Linked DNA regions of Caenorhabditis elegans. The protein of the gene in region 3 purifies or fractionates together with the protein of the main gene of each other region. This does not show direct contact. Each region holds a gene or a part of one and is shown on either strand. Other genes may lie near its edges.

Evidence for each region.
Region 1: the proteins of F21C10.9 (region 3) and gspd-1 fractionate together in Caenorhabditis elegans (co-fractionation; one large-scale study listed by BioGRID). This does not show direct contact.
Region 2: the proteins of F21C10.9 (region 3) and wago-1 fractionate together in Caenorhabditis elegans (co-fractionation; one large-scale study listed by BioGRID). This does not show direct contact.
Region 4: the proteins of F21C10.9 (region 3) and ppw-2 fractionate together in Caenorhabditis elegans (co-fractionation; one large-scale study listed by BioGRID). This does not show direct contact.

The regions. Positions count from the first base shown.
Region 1 is NC_003282.8:11,315,663-11,320,472, reverse strand, and holds gspd-1 (Glucose-6-phosphate 1-dehydrogenase), read right to left. Parts: upstream 3,055-4,810; 5' UTR 3,053-3,054; coding exon 2,927-3,052; intron 2,874-2,926; coding exon 2,667-2,873; intron 2,251-2,666; coding exon 2,175-2,250; intron 2,131-2,174; coding exon 1,878-2,130; intron 1,820-1,877; coding exon 1,518-1,819; intron 1,457-1,517; coding exon 1,319-1,456; intron 1,267-1,318; coding exon 1,065-1,266; intron 1,014-1,064; coding exon 837-1,013; intron 784-836; coding exon 696-783; 3' UTR 522-695; downstream 1-521. Other genes in the region: B0035.18 (Mitochondrial cytochrome c oxidase subunit VIc/VIIs domain-containing protein), read right to left, coding at 5-153; pfd-4 (putative prefoldin subunit 4), read right to left, coding at 4,762-4,810. UniProt on the Caenorhabditis elegans protein: Cytosolic glucose-6-phosphate dehydrogenase that catalyzes the first and rate-limiting step of the oxidative branch within the pentose phosphate pathway/shunt, an alternative route to glycolysis for the dissimilation of carbohydrates and a major source of reducing power and metabolic intermediates for fatty acid and nucleic acid biosynthetic processes.
Region 2 is NC_003279.8:7,233,528-7,239,292, reverse strand, and holds wago-1 (Argonaute protein wago-1), read right to left. Parts: upstream 3,910-5,765; 5' UTR 3,886-3,909; coding exon 3,721-3,885; intron 3,675-3,720; coding exon 3,094-3,674; intron 3,050-3,093; coding exon 2,317-3,049; intron 2,269-2,316; coding exon 2,093-2,268; intron 2,050-2,092; coding exon 1,874-2,049; intron 1,832-1,873; coding exon 1,485-1,831; intron 1,439-1,484; coding exon 1,199-1,438; intron 1,159-1,198; coding exon 851-1,158; intron 806-850; coding exon 694-805; 3' UTR 501-693; downstream 1-500. Other genes in the region: dhp-1 (Dihydropyrimidinase 1), read left to right, coding at 59-209; R06C7.2 (BEN domain-containing protein), read left to right, coding at 4,792-5,114, 5,165-5,189, 5,233-5,420, 5,468-5,633. UniProt on the Caenorhabditis elegans protein: Argonaute protein which is involved in the endogenous small interfering RNA (endo-siRNA) pathway. Interacts with secondary 22G-RNAs, which are RNA-dependent RNA polymerase-derived endo-siRNAs, typically 22 nucleotides in length with a 5'guanosine residue.
Region 3 is NC_003283.11:9,096,678-9,100,654, reverse strand, and holds F21C10.9 (N-acetyltransferase domain-containing protein), read left to right. Parts: upstream 1-1,958; 5' UTR 1,959-1,995; coding exon 1,996-2,164; intron 2,165-2,434; coding exon 2,435-2,602; intron 2,603-2,650; coding exon 2,651-2,775; intron 2,776-2,823; coding exon 2,824-3,022; intron 3,023-3,068; coding exon 3,069-3,361; 3' UTR 3,362-3,454; downstream 3,455-3,977. Other genes in the region: frpr-6 (G-protein coupled receptors family 1 profile domain-containing protein), read left to right, coding at 54-359, 405-530, 580-704, 754-874; F21C10.10 (3-hydroxyacyl-CoA dehydrogenase NAD binding domain-containing protein), read right to left, coding at 3,527-3,763, 3,809-3,977.
Region 4 is NC_003279.8:5,158,011-5,164,154, reverse strand, and holds ppw-2 (Piwi domain-containing protein), read left to right. Parts: upstream 1-1,922; 5' UTR 1,923-1,950; coding exon 1,951-2,139; intron 2,140-2,185; coding exon 2,186-2,376; intron 2,377-2,424; coding exon 2,425-2,593; intron 2,594-2,637; coding exon 2,638-3,043; intron 3,044-3,087; coding exon 3,088-3,811; intron 3,812-3,859; coding exon 3,860-4,035; intron 4,036-4,079; coding exon 4,080-4,248; intron 4,249-4,294; coding exon 4,295-4,469; intron 4,470-4,513; coding exon 4,514-4,756; intron 4,757-4,803; coding exon 4,804-5,171; intron 5,172-5,222; coding exon 5,223-5,340; 3' UTR 5,341-5,644; downstream 5,645-6,144. Other genes in the region: let-630 (Small ribosomal subunit protein mS39), read left to right, coding at 1-895, 944-1,072, 1,125-1,457; trf-2 (MATH domain-containing protein), read right to left, coding at 5,688-5,855.

The DNA.
Region 1 (4,810 bases), on a different chromosome or scaffold from region 3:
TGACGCGAAAAACTCTTCATATTTGTTGTGACGTGGCCAAACGTAAAATGCGTTGAATGCGGCAGTCGAGACGACAGCGACAGCAAGTGAAACGTAAATTCCACGTTTTCCATATGATTGGAGCATGTTCCGGGTAGCGGAAGCAGCAACCATGGCTGAAAAAAAGAATGAGTAATACGATGTGCAGCTAGCAAGAAAAAGACGTAAAACAAGAAAGACGTTTTTTTTTAAATCAAAGATATTGATACTTTAAAACATTTGTGCAAAAATGATGGGAAATCCGATGGAAAATGATAGAAATCCGAAGAAAATATGATTGAACTTGAACAAGAATTGAACAATATGATGATGCGCGACGCAACACGCGTCGCACGTCCACTACTGTAGAAGTAGAGTGTATGCAGAGTGTTTGCGGACTGGCGCACCGTAACCGGCTTGTCGAAAAAATGATTATTTTTTGAATACAGATTATTTAAAATAAGCCTTTTTACTGGCTTATCTTATCGTTCTACACTTCTTTTAACTGAAAACGTATTTATTTTCATTCATTCAATAGAACATTAACAAATGAAAAAAGAGCAGGAATAATATTGATGTGGAACACAGGAAAACATATGAACTAGTAGCTGCTGAATTTTTGAAGTTATTTCTACAAACATTTGAAAGAGAATGAATAGAGGAAGATCTGGTATCATTTATAGCTTTGGAGCAACCCATTTGTATGTTCCAGTGAAGATGAAACCGTACTTTTTCATCAATTCGTCACCTTCAGTTGGACCACGACTGAAAAATTGGATTACTGTATTTAATTTTAAAAAAAAAGAAACACAACCAACCTTCCAAATTTATATTGAACCGGTTGAACTTTCTTCTTTTTAAGCTCTTCGAGAACTGGCGTCAAAATACGCCAAGCGTATTCAAGCTCATCAGTTCGAACGAAATTAATTTGAGATCCCATGAATACTTCGAGAAATAGGCGTTCATAAGCATCAGGAAGACGGACTTCTTTGAATCTGAAATTATCACAATGAAATTTTTTTTGAAGAGAAATTTCAAAAACTAACCTATTATTATAAGTCAAATCAAGTTCAGTTTCTTCAACACCGAATCCCATTCCAGGTTTCTTGGTCATCAGTTTCATGTAAACTGCCTCATTTGGTTGCACTCTCATCACTAATTCGGATCGCTTTAATTCACCAGACGGATAGATATCTCCACTGACTTCTTTGAATTGTATACGAACTTCTGCTTTCTTCTCGTTGAGAGCTGCAATAATATTGAAATTTAAAAATTCGGTTTTTTTTTGTATATTCCCTACCTTTTCCACAACGCAAGAAGAATGGAACACCCTCCCAACGTTCATTATTGATGTGAACAACAGCAAGAGCATACGTTGGAGTAGTCGAATCGGCTGGAACTGATTTGTCATCTTTGTATCCTTGTGATGCTTCTGGGTCTAAAATTAATGTATTTAAAAATCAAAACTTTTATAAAATTGTAATTTTTGAAAAACTCACGATCAAATTCAGGACTGGCAATGTATTGTCCAACTACTACATCCTTTAATTCTACAACTTTAGCAGCTTTCAACACTTTGACCTTTTCATCACGAATATCTTCAGCATTCAAACTTGCTGGTTTCTCCATGGCGACTAAAGTTAGAATTTGCATCAAATGATTCTGCATAACATCACGGATAATTCCAGCTGTATCAAAATATCCAGCACGGCCACCAGTTCCAAAATCTTCTTTAAATGAGATCATAACTGATGCAATGTGATCGCGGTTCCAAGATGGAGCGAGAATTCGGTTTCCAAATCTGAAAGTTCAAAATAAAATTATAAATCTCTTCAAATACTTTGAAAAAACATTCTTACCGCATAACCATCAAATTCTGAACCATTTCTTTTCCGAGATAATGATCAATACGGTAGATTTGATCTTCTTTAAAAAGTTTCGCCAAATGAGTTGAAAGTTCACAAGATGATTTCAAATCATGTCCAAATGGTTTTTCTATGATAACACGTGTCCATGAATCACCATGATCCATACAATTCTTCTTTAATTCCGTAGAAACCACGTTGAAAACTGATGGAGGAAGAGCGAGGTAGTAGAGACGATTGACGGCTTCTATAAATTTGCTTAGATTGAGTGAAATTTAATTCTAAACCTACGATTATTGCTTTCTTTTTGGAAATCATCAATTGAAGATTGAAGGCGTTGGAATCCTTCAGAAGTGTCGTATTGGCCCTGAAAAAATGTCAATGGTGCTTTTTATGTTCAAAGTTTCTAGAAAAAAGCTTCGATTCAAATTTTTATTACCCAGTAACAAGATTTTGTGCGAAAAATACGGTAACCGGTCTCGACCCCACAATTTTTGTTGAATGCAAAAAAGTGCGCGCCTTTAAAGAGTACTGTAGTTTCAAGTTTTTGTTGGTTTTCGTAGTTTTCCTACCTGATTTGTAAAAAAAATGTATGTGTTGCAATTATTTTTTTTCAGTTTTAAAACAATTTTTTTAAAATCTGAAATCGACAAAAGCTTGAAGCTACAGTACTGTTTAAAGGTGATACGTTTTCGCATTTAACACAAATTTGTGGTGTCGAGACCGAGCACTGTATTTTTGGAACAAAGTTTCACGCCTATTTATTAGCAGATGTAGATTTACCTGAACGTATGAGCACTTCTTGATGAAGTCATCAAAAGCACATTTCTCATTTTCTCGAACTTTACAGTTTTTCTCAAAAGATTCACGAAGCTTGAAAACTGTCAGATCGGAACGGGCATATCCAATAAATTTGATGTTGACTGGCAAAAGGTTGTCACGGAACAACCACCACAGTGTTGGGTATATTTTCTTTTTTGCGAGATCTCCCTGAAAAAATGTTAAATAATTAATAATCGATATATATGGAATAGATGTCATACCGATGCTCCAAATATCACGAAAACGTACGGAGTCTCAAATTTGAGATCTCTTTGCATTGATTCACGAAGACACTCGACGAGATCCTTCGAAATGGGATCGGACACTGAATGACGTTTGCATGCCATTTCTGTAAATTTATAAACTAGATTTTGAAGTGAGAATGACGAACATTGATTCACAAAAATTACTCGTGTTGAGAGGTAAATAGTAGAAACTACAAGTTTCAAAGTAAACCATCTAGATACACATAAATGTTATTTAAAAGTGAGATTATTGTTTCATTTATACAACGAAAAATCAAAAAGAAATACGTTAATTGATATATTGATGTACTTCATAATGATTCTGCGCAATTCTTTTTTACTGGCAGAGTAATAAACTGCTTACTTTCAGCTAGTTACATTTAATGGAATAATGTTAATTTCTAGCACTAAAAAATGTAATTTTTCCTTTCGAATCATATACCTAGTAGCGAACCGCAGTCTACAATATAAATGAATTGGAACAACTGGAACAACACTATAAATCGGTCACTTTTTACTCCACTTCCATTTTTTTCACAGGGCAGCGAGAGAAGAAAGAAACAGTAAGAGAAAAGTGGATGCGCCAGTCTCTTTACAAACATGAAAATATTTACTGAAATCTTCTCGGGTCACAAAAAATGATGACTGAATGAAATTGTGTAGTGTGTGCGAGTGGTAACCATGACAAATAATGTTCTCTGGGCGACATTGATCGACAATGAAAAGAAACAATGTATTTCTCTAGGAAACATAAAAACTCGAGTAACTTGACTCTGGAGAAGAGACGAAACTTTGTAACTCTAGATTTAATCTATGGTTCTTGACTTTTAGTTGACCGACTAGGATATTCTGGAACACATTTTTTTTGGATTTTATCTGGAAGATGAATTCTTCGAAGACTTAGTCTATCAGAGAAAAAACTAATTTCGTTTTCAGAAAACAAATCAAAAATCACTGAACTTGAAAGTTTATCAATTTGATTAACGTCTGATCAGTTTACCAAATTAACAAGAAGACAAAGAAAAAGAAGAATGAAAACTGTTCTTTGCAACTCCTAAATAACTATGCATTTTCAACCATAAATTCTGCCAATCGGGTTTCATTTGGAAAACGGAGCACACGAATGGCCACATTTATTTGTGTCTCTGCCGATCATTTTTTTAGAAGGTGAAAAGTGCAAACAAAATATGAGGAGAAAAAAACGGAAAATGCTGACAAAACTTCGGAGGTGACAAAGAAAGAAACGGATAAAAAAGGTGAGAAAAGAAAGGGCAGACAAATTAAATGGACAGAAAGACAATCGGGAAAGAATGTTGCCAATTTGGGAATATAATTAATTTTCAAGTATTTTTTTAAAGAGAAATTGAATATTTTCTGTTAAATTCAAATATTTAGAATGCTACATTCTAGCCAGTCTATTGTGGAAATCATGATAAGATTGTCTGAAAGATAATGGATTTTTCCAAAATGCTATTATATTACGTGGGCGAGCGTCTCCTCTATAAATAAAGAGCAATGGGAAACAAAACATGTAAACTAAAATGAACACCAAACACGAAAAAACCTTCCTCTTCCCGTCCACTATATTGATATTTAGGATCTGGTGTGACCCACAAGTGGGTGGTGCCATTCGTGATAAGGAAAATCGGTCGAAAAAATTCATCAGCAAAATACGCGGAAACAGTGAACAGTGAGCACACGTTGTGAAAAAGGTGAGAAAAGCAATTTTTAAATTGAGATAATTTTTATATATGAAAGCTTCAACGGAAAAGATACAAAATCGAGCAAAATAAGAAATTAGAATTTATAGATTATTCTTCAGCGTCCAAATTGATCTGATCTCCGAATTTGGCGTACAAA
Region 2 (5,765 bases), on a different chromosome or scaffold from region 3:
ATTCTTGTATTCAGACATATTCTCTCAATGGCACAACATTAACCACAATCTATTACAGAGGGCGAATTGTATGGGCTCACGGAAAACTTCAAACAGTTCCCGGATCTGGGAAATTTATTCCCCTTCTTGCGAATTCACCATTCGTTTTTTCAACTCACGAGAAAAGGGAACAGAAAATTCAACCAAGGATAGTTGAAAGGCTTGAATGAAATTGCTTTTTTATTTATTACTTTTCTTGTTCTGATTAACTTTCGAATTACCATTTTGAGTTAAAAACGTGAATAAATTGTTTGTTCAATATTGAGATTACAACCAAAAAGTAATATTTAGTCGACTAGTCAATTGACTTGGAAGCAGCTCTAGAAATGTTTAATGTTCCAATTTCAAAAAAAAATCGAACAAAATTCCCCCTCATTATCAGACAATCTTCGTTTTCACTTGAAGATCCTCAAAAAACATCGCCTCGAACTTTTACGCACAAAGCAAATCTTTGAAAAATATTATCAGCCTAAAACTTTTATCATACCGAGTTTAATTACTACGGGTCACACAGAACCACATTACAAAAATATAAAACATTTGACTAAAAAATTACAATAAAACTAGCGGAAAAACCGTAAAATTATTATCCTAGGTGACCGTAAAATTATTATCCTAGGTAAAACATCAAGTGTATGTGGCATAGCTCCAAATCTATGCATTGACGCGCTTCTGATTGAGATCGGTTTGTTTGTAGCCGATTTCCTTTGTAAGTTCCTTGAGGCGCTCGCCTTGCGACTCCTTTGCTTCAATTGGTCCTTTAGTCCTGCAAAATATAAATAAATTTTTGTTTTAAACAAAAAAAACCTACGTTAGTTCACCCCAGAGATCTCTTCCACGCTTTGCATACTCATTTGCCACATAAAGTGGAGTGGGAATCGACGTGCTCAGGGAAACAATTTGGTGATGATGACACAAAGTGAAGGTCAGCTCCTCCAGGCGGTCCATTGGAGCTTTGCAGTCGTCAGCAAGAACAGTGTACAATGGTGTCTTTGCTGTTCCTTGAAGAGTCGTGTGACCGTTCAGGAAGAACTGCTTACATGCCGGATTCGTGACAGCGTTATCCAAGACAATGCCCGGAGGAATATTCATTTCAGTGGCTTTGCCGCCCGAACGAAGCTGAAAAGTTAGCGTAAAGAGAATAATAAAACAAATTTACCTGATCACGGAAGAATCGGTAACTGTGCTCCTTAGTGACGACGATGAAAATCAATTTGATTTCTTTCGAGTAACCATGGATAATAGCTCGGGCTAATGGGATTTCATAAGCCAGAATAGAAGCGTGAGAACCCTCCGATGCACCACTTCTATAAATGATGATTCTTTTTGGCAACGCTTTGCGGTTCTTTTCGAACAAATCGATTGAATTTTGCAACACGTCTTCAATTGATGCCATTGTCTGTAAAAATTACCATGTTGTTAACTCGAACACATTAATTATTTACGTCCTGTCCGGAGGGAGCCAAAACGAAATCGCCGACAAACTCGTGATTTGCAACAGCATTTGAAGCGAAGCCAATGATTTGTGGATTAAGATGTCCCTTGTTATCCATCATGTACTTCGTTCCAGCCGGTGGTGCGGAAACGCCAACTCCGATGATCAATTGTTCGTCGGTCATGCTCTTCTTTGCATCCGAAACAGTGTAGTTAAGACCACCTAACTTCACGTTAGTTTTGTTGATGATGTTCTCCAACGTCAATCTCTTCCCATCTTTGACAACGGCATTGGCTTTGGAAATTTTCATATCCTGGACGATCATCATTGTTCTCTGTTCCAAGGCTTTGTACTGCTCTGAAATTTTCAATGAACCATGAAAACTTAAGGAAAACTTACTGTGGAGGTGAACGATTGCGTCATCAGTGATCATCAAGACATACTTGCACTTACTCGCAGCCACTTTTTCCAGCTGAGTCATAATTTTTTCCGTACTGTAAAGTCCTGTTTCACATGGTGGCTTGATCACCATGCCTTTCTTCTTGCAAGAATCAATGAACATTCCGACGAGTTGGCTTAAGAATTGAATTGATTCATGTAAATTTCTATTTGTCTTACTTGACATCTCCAATGGAGAATCTGCAACCTGGATTTCCAACAGCGTAAGCAGCCCACAAATCAGGAACAGTCGCAGGCTTCACAAACCATCCTGGAGGCGCACGCCATTTTCCCATATCCGACATTACCGATCTCTGGTATACAAGTTCTTTTCCATCAAGCTCACGTGCTTGGACCTGGAAAAAGAAAACAAATATATTTTTTTACAATTTACACAAACTAACCATCAGAGGCTCCGAGTAAACCTTGATTCCAAGAGCGACGAGCAACTCGTTTTCGAGTGTAATGTTGACAGCATTTTTACCAGTGATGATCATTCGCTGACGGACATCCGGAAGAACCGCGCACTCCTTCGTTGTCTTTTGAGATTGATTTCCCGTTTGCTGAGGAATGGTGACACGTTGATTTCTGGACACAGTCATCAGTTCAGCCGGGAAGTAATTGTTGTTGCCTCGATCCTTACAAACCACCAAATTGGCGTTCGGATACTGTAGACTGATCTTGTATTTGTCCGCATAGTACTCGGCGATTGAACAAGTTTTTCCATCGGGCAACTCAAATCTGGTCTTTGTGGCACTTTCGTGAAAGATACCTTCGATTCTTAGATGGCGCTTTCTGTTGGTATAAGTCGAATAGCAATCAAGTCCTTTAATCACTGCCGCAGCCTTCTCACGGGTCATATTATTGAGTCCATTTGAAGGATCTTGTCCCGTGATGTCGAACAGTTTTTGGATCACAGTTTGCTCTTTGTGGAAAGCAGCTTTCATACCATCAATCACGAGAGATGGATTGTTCTGTCCGCGACCATAAGGACCCTCGATGAATTGAATCGTCTTCTTGAGGCCAGGATAAAGTTGTTTTCCGTCTCCTACGTCGACACAGTCTCGTTGATCGAATCCTTCTTCGGTGGCGTTGAGGAAATATACTTTTCCGTGCTCGAAGCATCCGAAACGATTTCTAAAATGAAGCGATGCTTTTAATAATTTTCGAAATTCACTTACGTTTCTCTCACGCAATGTTGATTCAGAGCAAGTTCCAAGAATTGAGTGTATTCTCGATTGTTTACTTCAATGTTTTGATCCGCAGTACGCTTGCCCAGATTTTCAGAAGAGAGCGTGATAGAGTTGTCCCTTGGGGCATAAATCTCGAGAGAAATGCAAGGCAGGGTCTTAAGGTCGTCATTGCCGGTATCAGCTCCGTTGATTTGGAAGACTTTGGACTTCGTACCGTTGGCATCCAGTTCTGAGAACAAGTTGACCGTCGTGTAGAGAGTTGATTGACCGTCATATACAATCTGATTCCCATCCTTCATTTTGAAGAATTCCGGGTTCTTCTCAACCGCAAGGAAAAAGATGTTGCAACACTTATCGCGACGATCCTGAACGACGAAGTCCTCCTTTCCTTTTTTAGTGAAAGTCACTTCCTTTGTTGAAGTCAAATCGGCCTTTGCGTGAACCATAAAACGATGAACTGTGGTTTCCTTTGTGACTTCAATTCCGAAGACATTGGTTTGGATGTCCACTGGTCTGCCCATTTTTCCAGGTTCGGTTGGCTTCATGTACATTTTCGCACCATCCTCAACCTGCAAATATGGCATTAGAAAGATCTTTGAATGCTGATAAACATACGTTTAACTGTTGTAAACGCTTGATGCATGCGTCGTTGCCAGTGCTTTGGTGAAGCTTTTGAGCATCGGCTGGAACTGGAGGCATTGGAGTCATAGCTCCTGGTGGAGCAGTGACTGGTGGCATTGGAGGCATCGGTGGATGCGGTTGTGGTGGATGAGGAGACATCTTATTACTATTGCAATATTAGTTCTGAAAAAAGCTTATATAAATAATATTCTGCACCGAATAAGCGAGATTGGAGAACATCTATAGAAAATTATGAATTTGTGAGATATTTAACAATAGTTTAAACAAATAAATCAGTTTTCTTCAAGAGATCAATCTAGAACGAAAATGGTACGTTATGAAGAAAGGGCAAACTACGGAATTTTCGTATTGCCGACGAAAAAGAATAATGATTCGAGATTTTTCGGTGTTTCAGAGGCGGCATAAAAACAAATAACGACTAGATTTGTACAAAATCATCATTATTAATGACGCAAGAATACAGAATCCGATAATTGGCGGCTAGATCAAATGTAGATCACTTTTACATTTTTAAGATTCAACGAGCAAGTTTCTTAAGATTTTGTAACTAGATTATTATTAAAATATAAAAATAATCTTGAAAATTAACAAAAATTATTGAAAACTGTCACAAACCGGAAAAGAATACAAAAAACAATTTCTTCGTCCTAAAAAATTTAAATGACAACGCATACAGTACATAAGAATGGAGATCGCTGCGAGACCCACTCAGTGTTAAAACGAACGCTCCTTGAATTTATTTTTGCTGTACAGCCTTATTTTTCTCCTTTTTACAAGTATTGTGTGCTTTCCATGTTTTAAAAAGTGACTTAGTTGTTAATTTTATTTTGAATGATACTCATCTAATTCAGGCTTGTAGCTTAGATCGCAATGAAGTTAATCGTTTGCAACCTATGTGGATTCCCGCCAGCAAGAAGGCAATTTTACATCACCACCTGCTCTCACATCTTGTCGAACAACGCAGACTGCTGGATTTTGTTATTTGTGTAAGGTCCCTACGAAAACTCTTAAAATAGATGGAAATCTGCCGAAAATGTGCGGAAAATGTTCAGCGCTGTACATCCCGATTCGCGACGTGACTGTAAAAAGTACAGATATTCTCAAACGTCTCACCAGAATTATTGGTTTTTAAAGTATTCAGAATTCAATTTATTAGGAAAACGAAAAATAAAAGGTAATTTTTTGCACTTGTTTCATGCAGAAGAAAAAGTTTTATTTCAGTCGGTGATGCTAAAAGATCAAACGGCGAAAACAGAGAAAAGGACACAGGAAATCACATGCCAACTGTCGAAGCTAGCCAATTTTGAGGAAAATAATCGAAAGAAGCTTCAAGATACTGAACGCGAGAACAAGAAGCTTCGAAATTTGTAAGTAGTTTCTGCACGAGATTAAATTTAACATTTTTTTTCTATTTTAGAATCAATTCCCTTGAACTGAAACTTGTCAGTTCTCCTGTTATCGACAATAACGATTTTTTTATTCAAGGAAAATCTACCTCTTCAAATCCTTTTTTTTTTAATCTCGGAAAATGACGAATTGCTCGAACGTGTATTTCACTTCCATTGTGCCACCTTCACCAAATTGTCAGACTTCCAACTTCTTTTTTTTCCAACACCAATGTATGTTGCAAATGAGTACGCGAAGAGTGGTCGTAATTTGTGGAATGAAGCCATGTGAGTTTAAGAAAATGACAACAGTTGATATTAAAATATTTTTGCAGCATTGCGGATGCAATTCCCGAAGTTTCTGGACCAGAGGCAGCTCGTATGAAGCAGATTACCGATAGCATCAAATACAAGGAATCCGGCTTCCTGATCGACCGTCGTGTCAATGCTTCAGCACTAATAATTCAATCAAATTGTAGTATTTTCAATTCCAACTTCTAGTTTGTGAGAAGCATACCATGATTTTTTATTTGTATCCCACCCTGTCATTCTTGTTTTTGCGTTACATACAATGCGTATCTAATAGTAAGTGGTGTAACTGCTAATTTCATTTTCCCCCGTTGCCCTATTATT
Region 3 (3,977 bases):
TTATTTCAAATTATAATCTCAACACAGAAAATCTAATTTGAAAATATTTACAGGTCCACATTTGGTGCACATTCAAAAACTCAGTTAGAATTGTTATAGCCATCATAACATTTTCAATTATTCTGAACTTCCCTAAATTCTTTGAATACCAAATTGGCTATTCGGATGCATTGGGATACTGGCCAAAACGTGGAATTTTGGATGCAGAAGAGCACTGGTGGTACTACATTTCATATTTTATCATCATTTCTGTCATTTTTGACTACCTTCTGCCATTTGTTATAATGTTCATTGCAAACATGAAAGTCATCAATGAACTGAGAAAATCAAGGAAGGAGAGAGCACTTTTGACGACTTCGGTAAATATTTTACACGTTTGTATTCTATTATTATTATATTTCCAGCTTCAAAAAGAGCAAAATACAACTGTGATGTTGTTGGTTGTGACTATTCTCTTTGGATTCTGTCACTTTTTCAGTATGGCTCTCAAATTGTTCGAGAGCATTTTTAAAGATTTTCTCAATCGACACGTACGTTTTTAAAAGATTTAAATAAAATAATCTGAACATGTCATTTCAGAATGAATATTTCGAAGTGATGATTGAAGTATCTAATATTCTCATCGTCATTCATATTGGCACGACATTCTTCATATATTACTTTTTCTCGGCTAGATTCAGGAATATTTTGTGCTATTTGTTCAAGTAAATTTTAAAATCAAAATCTTATTCTTTCAATTAAATATTATTTTAGAAAACGAAGCAACCTTCCGGATAATAGCCTCACAGACTTGAACAAACGGAAGCTTCTTCAAAAATCCGATTCAATATGTACTTCACTGGCAAAAACATCACCAAAAACATCAATGGCATAATAATCTGAAAATAGGATATATAGTAGTCTCCCAATCTCTTGATCTTTTGTTTCTGATATTTCTTTTTTACTTCCTTGGATCTTTTTGTTCCTGCTTGCCATCCTCTTCGGCGTCATAATAATCATTCCGAAAGTTGTTTTCCTATATCTTACGAACGGTTCAATGAAATAAAATGTTGTGAATTTTATTTATGATATGCTAAAAATTAGACGATATATATGGAAACAAACTGTCTGGTTAAGGAAAAGTATGAATATATAATTTTAGCTTTTGAGATAGTGATCTCGGTACAAAAATCAAAAGTTAAAGGTCTAAAGTTCAAACAATCATGCAACTTTCCAAATATACTAACAGAAGCCACATTCTTGGAAACCTCCAGAAAGTGCGAAGCATCCTGCACGTTTTTAATGCATAGTTTAAGGAAAATATTGAAAATGAAGAAGTAAAAACCAAAAGATGGAAAAATTATTTATGAGAATAAAAGAAGGTAATCATGGGAAATTTAGAATCTCAAAAGTTTGTTCCTCGAATGCTTTTGATTACTTCGGAGCAAATGAAAAGAAAAGATGCAATAAATGAAACCAAAAAAATAGGACTTGTGATCTTTAGGAACTAGAATTAAAAAAATAACCAAATGTTAAATATAGATTGGTTTTGATTTGTTCAAAATATCGTAACATGCAATTGTGAATTTTAAAGTTCATCTACTATTTTGAGATAGATGAAATAAAAATTTTAACGGAAAACGATATTTACCGGGAATTATACAAACTGTACTAAATTAACGTGATGAGATTTGCGTTTTTAGGAGGAAGCGGTGGGTGATAAAAATATAATATGCTATGAAAAAAACGTTTATTGTACAGAAATAAATGAAATTTCATTTTTGAATGGGTGAACAGTTGTTTTCATTTTCTTGTAAATTACAAAATAAAATTTTTCTATCATTTGATTCCGCATTTTGTAGTACGCGAATCTTGTAGCTTGTGTATTTTGTGTACGCTATCAGTAAATGATCGAACCTGTGTGTTCAACAGTTGGTCGATATCAGAACTAATATATAAATTGGCTAGACAGAAAAAAAAGGACTCACACTTTCAACTTATTCAGCTAGTTTCGAGATGAAAACTTTATTTGAAATTATTGATAATCCTGATTCATCTAGCCCATTGTGGAAACAATGGAAAAATTTAGTGGACACCGAAGGATGGACATCAGATGACAATTCGGTCACCGAAATGGTTCCATCTCTTCCGACCACGCGAAGTGTTTTTGCAGTTACTAAAACGCGTAAGTTTTCTCTGTTTGATATTAGTTTTAGAAGCACGTGATTTATTATTGCAACAAAAAGATAAGTACTAGTTAACTAGTTTGAAAAAGGACCGATATGTTATCAATTAATACTTTGATTTATTAGAGACATGCAATATGATTTTAGACTAAAATCTTTAACTTTTTATTGTGTTTGTTTTAAACTATTTATTTACAGTTAATTTTGTAAAATGAATAAACTTTGGTGATTTTGGCGGAGAATTTTGTAAAATTGAGAAATTTTTACAGCAGAGCGGAGCATGGTTGGAAGTGTTGTTTGGAACGAGTATGATGATATTTGTTGGTTAGGCTTTTACCTTTTGGCTCCAGAGTATCGTGGAAAGGGCATCGGGTCGATGATCTGGGCTCAAGCAATGTCTCGTATTAGGAAAGACTTGGTTCTTGGCTTAAGAGGAGGTTTCTTTGTATTTTGATTCAACTTTAAAAATAAAATACCGATTTCAGTCGTCAAAATGGCTCCAAAATACAAATCCCGAGATACTCCTGTGGATGGAGCGTTGCTTGAAAATTACCGTTTAACTTCAAATGACTTTTATTCTGCTATGAAAAATTTTCAAGATTTGGGGCTTGTAAGTTGAGAATCGTCGTACTTACAAAAAATGCATATTATATAACAGATTCAAAAACGCGTGAGAGACTTATCTGAAACAGATTGGGAGAAGTTTTTGAAGTACGATAAAAGTGTGAATAGTAGAGATCGTCGAGAGTATTTGGAGATTTATTACAAGAAACTTGATTACACTATTGGAATTGCATTTTTCAATGAATCTGGAGACATAGATGGTGTTATTTCTGCGGTTCCTACTGGTCATCAAGGTACTAGTTTTTTGAATTATTGAGGAATTCAGTTAATGACTTTCAGAAGATAACAATTTCAAAATTTGCCACCTTTACGCAAATTCATCAAACATAGCATTTTACACAATGAAAGTCCTTTCCGAAGTTATGCTCAAAACATATCCTGAAGCTACTCTCATTTTCCATCTTGTTGATACTCCTGAAGGATCCTTCACAGTTCTTCATAAATTTTTCAAAAGCCTCAATTTGAATGCAGGTGTCAGTGGATTAACACTATACAGTGATGTGTATCAGCCCAAAGGAGATCTTGAGAAAGTTTACATTCCATTTAATAGCTCCTGTCATTTTGATTACTGATATTTAGAATATTTCAAATTTGATGATAATCAACTTTTTTTTTCCTTTAAGTTGACATTTATATTCAATAAAATAGCTTTCCAATTTATTACAAACAAGCTGATCTACATGGAGATCTTAATTACAGTCAGAAAAATGAATGTACAAAGTTCCCAGAAACACGAACTAAAAAAGCAAGTATTGTTCTTTTGGCATTGAAGGAGTTGCTGGAGCATTGAGTGGTGTGACAAGTGTAGAAATAAGCTTCGAAAGAGATGATGATTTCTCAACTTGTTGCATATCAAGTACAAGACGATCAGCAACTCGAGAATCTTCCTCACTGAGAACAGTAAGGCCCATCGAATCGAGAAGTTGGTTTACTTCTTCGAGAGTTTTTTTGGAAACCTTCGAATTGGTGAACATCTGAAAGAAAGATCTATGAATCAACGTTTTTGTTTCTTCTGATACCTTTGCAGTCTTTGTCTCATGAATGGGGCTGTACATTTTGACAGACACGTGATTCGAGTGAATTGGAGATTTTTCACCGTTGAGGGAGATGATTGTGGCATTTGGAACAGCTTTAGCGGTATTAATGAAGAGAGAAGATTCATCGGCAGAGCATGCATCGATGATTTGA
Region 4 (6,144 bases), on a different chromosome or scaffold from region 3:
AACCGTTTCTATAATGATTGCTGGTCTATGCAAGTTTTCTGATCATTCTAGTTTGGAAAGAGCTAGAGAATTGTACAAGGAGCATCGAGCTGCAAAAGGAAAAGTTTACCGAGAAGCGTTCAATGGATTAATTGGCGCTTCAAGCTACAGTGTCGGGAAGAAATTGGTAGCTGAAATGATTTCCCTCAGAATGACACCCGATATTTTCACGTTCAATGCATTACTGTCGTCTGCTGCAAAAGCTGGAAAGTTTGAAGATCGTGTGAAGGCGTTCACTGAAATTATTGGAGAAATGAAAGAGATTGGAGTTGAACCAGCACTGTCATCTTTTCATTTAATTATCAAAAACATCATAGATTTTAAATTATTGGATAATGAAAAACGAGAGAGTGACGAGCAAAAGAAGACCTATAATCACCAGCTCACCGTGGCTATATCTTGGCTCAATGAAATTCAGAATAGCCTTACTGGAAAAACTCTCAAGCCGATTACATCCACTTGTAATCTTTTCTTCGTCGAAGCAATGGGAATCCATTACAGAGCTGCAAATGAGAACCTCGCAGAAAATCTTGTTTCAATTTATGAATCCAAAGCAAACGAAGTAAAGATGCCAGCATTCACAATTGAATCAATGTTCTATAATAGACAATTACAATTGGCTGTGGAACAAAGTGCTTCACTGAACAGAATTTATGATTTGTACACCACCATGGTACCACGACTTGTTGGAGTCAACAATTATCTGTCATCACTAGTTTTTCGAAAACTCGCTGCATCCTCCGATCGTCATTGGCCACTGTTACGGAGAGTAATCATCGACGGTATTGCAGCTGGACAGATGAATGGAGTTATTGGAGAAGAAATGCGCAAACAGTTGTGTAATGTACAACTACATGTAAGTTTTATTTCCAAATATCTTGTGTTTTTTACAAGTTTTTTTCAGACATTGGGAACTAGTGAACGGGAGCAATTCACATCTCTTGTCCAAAAATTGGTTGCAGTTTGGGTTGAGTTCAGCCAATTCACAGAAGAGAGAATGAGAAGGCTCCAAAGGAAACTGTCGCCTAGCCAGGTTTTAATATTATTTTTCAAACCATAAGTCGTATATTTCTCAAATTTTGCAGATCTCAGAATGTGCTTTGCTCTTGACCAGAATCGGAGAACAGCAGAAAGCTTACGAACTGTTAGATCTACTGCTTGATGAAACTGCAAGCAGTGGGGACGAAGCGACTGTTTATCCACGTGGACATGCTAGGCCATGGGCAATGGCAGAATTGTTCGAAGATGCTCTTAGAAAACGTGATACATATGCTGCAGCGACTTGCCTGCAAATTATGTCGTTGACCGCCAACCGTGCAAAACTTGAGCCTCTCGCCAATCGCATTTTCGAGAAATGTAATGTGAATCAAGAGCAAGTTCGAATTATTCAAGGATTCATTCGTCTTCGCCCACAATAATTTTATTTCGTTTAGCCTAGGATAGTTGTAAAGTTATTTTGTTTTTGTTTTGTTTTGCTTTCAAAATGTCTCCCATAATAAAACTTATTTAAAAATTTGTTCAACATGTTTTTTTTTCAAAGGTCGTTCAATTTGAAATTAAAGGCGCATCGAGTTTTCATCTGAGTGGGTCTCGCAACGCTGTCTAAGGTATACGGTAGCTATTCGCACTACTTCAAAAAATGTTACCTACTGTCCCAAAATATTCATTTCCGTGCACGATTTTTCAGTATTTCTTGTTGAAATCTTCATATTTTTCAAGTATCTAACAAAAACGTGTTTCAATAGTTCTTTTTTCAAGTTATAAGTTATAAGATTTAGAGAATGCATGTATCCCGAAAAGTTGCATAAACTTATTCAATTTTTTTCCAACACGTTATTCGTAAATTTTAAGATATTGTTCATAATGCAATCGTTCTCCGATTTCAGGTAGTATTCACTAACAACATTCACAATGCCTGCTACACCGGTTCCACCGGTAACAATGCCACCAGTGCCACCAGTTGGTTTTCCACCGGTCACCGCTCCGCCAGGACTTCATCCACCACCACCAGTCCCACCGGTTCCGGTTCCGACTCTTCCTGTCACCTCGGAACACAAAACTGCTCACGATGCGTGTATTAAGCGACTCGAACAGCTTGAGGTGAGATCGGTTCTCGTTATTGCTTAGAATAAATATGATATTTTAGATTCCGCCGGATCCGAAGATCTATCCTTCTCCAACCGAACCTGGAACTTTCGGTAGCGTGACTGAAGTCCTGACAAATGTGTTTGGAGTCGAAGTACATAAAACTTCCAACTTTTATCAATACAGTGTGCACATCACTGCTGAACTTTCATCGAAGAAAGAAGTAACTTTCACTAAAAAAGGAAAAGAAGAGTAAGATATTGATGATCGAATTCAAATTTCCTATGCATTCAATTTCAGCTTCATTGTTCATGACCGCCATGAGAAGTGCAGTGCTATTCTGTTCCACGCATTGAACCGCTTTGAGGACTTTTTCAAGTCGTCTGAGAACTGCATCATCTACGATGGACAGAGCATTCTCTTCACCAGCATGAATCTTTTTGAAGGAATTCCAACTGGAAAAATTAAGGTATCGAGATTTTATTTGTACTTTCGATGCATTCCTAATTTCAGACAAAAGTGTTTCAAATTAACGGTGCGGACACCAACTTGAAAGACCTAATGGTGCTGCCGTGTATCAAACTGGAAGTTTTTCCTACCAAGAACCCAGTCGTGAATTTCTCCCTGGAAGATATTGGAAGACGTACATCGGATTCTAACATCGAGTCTGTCAATATGGCTTATAAGCAGATTCTCGATCTCGCTATGAGTCAGTACGCAATTCGCGAAACCTCCAAATGTGTAGTGTTCGAGCACGGAAAGATGTTTTTCATTAATCCATTGCAAGAAGGGTACGCTCCATGCGACATTGTGGAAGTTGGAGATGGGAAACAAATGAAACCGGGTCTCAAGAAAACCCTCCAATTCATTGAGGGTCCATACGGACGTAACCAGAATAACCCATCGATTGTCATTGACGGTTAGTTTTTAGCTCAAAATAGACAAGTATATTTCAATCTTCAGGAATGAAGGTGGCATTCCATATGGAGCAACTCGTTTTCCAAAAATTGTCATCGATCACATCCAATCTGGCTAACGGAATCACTGGATCCGAAAGAGAACGATGTGCAGCTGTCATCAAAGGACTTGACTGTCATTCAAACTATAGAGGACGCACACGTCATCACAAAATTGAAAGCATTCATCACGAAGGAGCCGCAACTGCCAGATTCGAGCTCGAAGGTGGTGGTACTTGTACCGTTGCCACCTACTTCAAGGATAAATATAAGATTCAACTTCGCTATCCGAACGCCAATCTCATCGTTTGTAAGGAAAGAGGAGCTCTCAACTTCTATCCCATGGAGTTGATTACTATCAGTCCAAATCAACGTGTTAGAATCACTCAGCAAACAAGTTCTCAAAGTCAACGAACCACAAAAGAAAGTGCAGTGTTGCCAGACATTCGCCAACGTTTGATCATGACGGGAAAGATTGCAGCGAAGATCACAGCTGAAAACGAGGTGCTCGGTAAAATGGGAGTGACTGTTTGCGATGAGCCTCTTGTGGTGAAAGGGCGAAACCTCCCGGCCATTAGGTTGGCTTCATTTGAAACGGGTGAACATCTCATCAATCCAAGAGATTGCAAATGGCGCCCACAACGCTACAACCGTTCAGCTGTGGCTCCGAAAGTATGGGCGTTGTACGGCGTGGGGTCGCCGGGATCACAAATGAATCGCGACGTTATGAGGTTAGTCTTACTCTACTTAAAATTGATTGGTTTTTTCTGATTTTTCAGACGTTTTTGTGACGAGTTCATGAATATGAGTCGTTCGAAAGGAATTCTGTTTCCGCCACCTGGAGACGTCAATCTTCTCACCCCTGATGCTATCGAAAATCGTTTGCGTGAGGCTGCGAATGCTGGATGCACTTTTGTTCTGTGCATCACTGAAGACAATATCACTTGCTTGCATCGTATGTCATAATTGGCTCTTCTCAATAAGTTTTGTTTGTTACAGAAAAATACAAGTTCATCGAGCATCATACTCAGATGATTGTTCAGGATATGAAGTTGTCCAAGGCTTTGAGCGTCGTCAACGCATCAAAGAAACTAACATTGGAGAACGTTATTAACAAGACCAACGTGAAACTAGGAGGGTCCAACTACGTTTACCTCGATACGAAGAAGTATATTATTACGCGTTCAATTGTTTATCCATGTACAAAATTTCAGCTTCCTTCAAGAGCATCTGATCATCGGCGTTGGTATCTCCAGCCCACCACCTGGGACCAAGTACATCATGGAAAGCAGAGGAATTCTCAATCCGACTATTGTGGGTTTCGCATACAATGGAAATGGGAAGCAGGAGTTTAGTGGAGATTTCGTATTGAACGCTGCTGGTCAAGAAGTGCGTTTTTCAGTCATACTATTTTATTCATGTTGAGCTTTCAGACCATTGCACCAATTGAGGATATCGTCTCCTATTCAATCAAAGGATATAAGAAGTTCCACGATGGCAAAGCGCCAAAGCGCATCACAATCTACCGAAGTGGCTCCAGCGAAGGAAATCACGGACCAATCATCTCCTATGAAGTTCCTCTTGCTCGTGTTGCCATGAGAAACTTTTCGCCGGACACTCAATTGCTTTATATCGTGGTCTCGAAGGAGCACACCTATAGATTCTTCAAGAAAGAGGTGAGTGGGCAAGAAGTCTTGACGTTTAATGTTGATTATTATTTCAGTCTGGTGGATCTTCCAGCGGTGGATCTAACAGCGCTGGCGCAAGCAATTCTGGCACATTGACTTCGGCACCGCCAAAACCATGGGAGCTCAATATTGGTCCAGGACTTACCGTTGATTATGGTGTTACCAACCCAGCATGCAAGCAGTTCTTCTTGAACTCGCACATGACTCTTCAGGGATCGGCAAAGACCCCGCTCTATACTGTTCTTGCTGATGATCGTAATATTGGTATGTCGGCATTGGAAGAATTCACCTTCAATCTGTGTCACCTCCATCAAATTGTCGGACTTCCCACGTCGATTCCAACGCCACTGTATGTTGCAAATGAATACGCGAAGAGAGGGCGTAATTTGTGGAATGAAGCCATGTGAGTTTTCAGATTTTTTCGATTCAAGCATTTATGACTATGCCTTTTCAGCAATGCTAATGAAATTCCCGAGGTTACTGGACCAGAATCAGCTCGTTTGAAGAAAATGACCGATGGCATCAGCTATATGGGCTCCGGCGACATGATCGACCGCCGTGTCAATGCTTAAGCACTCACCCGAAGATCAAGTTGTACCATTTTTTAATCCAACTCATCTTTTGTATCAATTTTTTTATTTGTATCCCACTATGTCTTTAATGCTATATCTTATCTAAGTGGTACATAATTGTTCAATAATTGTTTTATTCCCCCCGCCCTCTGTTCCCCATTGTTCTGGCTCATCCTACGTGCAGCTTGTCAATCTTCGGCAATGATTACAAGTCGTTCATAGGTTATAGCCATTGTTGTTTTGTTAAGTTGAGCATGTAATGCTTTTGTTATGGTCTCCCGGAGACAATAAAATTTTAAAATCCAAACTGCATCTAACAATTGGAATCATTTATTCACTGGAAAACTTCATTCACTTTTCGCTTTCGATGATCCGACCATCTCGGACTGACACTCAGACGAATCGACTTCTTTAGCTTGGGTTTTTTGTTTCTCCTTGCTCAATAAGACCTTTATTTGGATAAAGATGTCACCATCAGCAGCGAATTCGGTTACTTTTGCCAACGGAAGAAAGTTCTGAAGTACACAGCCTCCTCACGTGGAAATGACCCAACAAGGGGGCTTGCGCGTTTCTCGTGAGCGTTGGAAAATTTTACCACTGAAAAATGATTTCCTTCGGTTTTTGTGGGTTTAAAATCGATTTCATATTTTGAAATTAGGTATCAATTGTAAAGCTAATTGGGGGAAAGGAGGAGAAAAAAAGATTTTTGATTTTGGTTCAAAAATAAAAGCGCTGATATAAAAAGTAAAAACAACTAAAAATTGAGTTTTTCTCATATTTTGTATATTTATCATCATTTTTCTA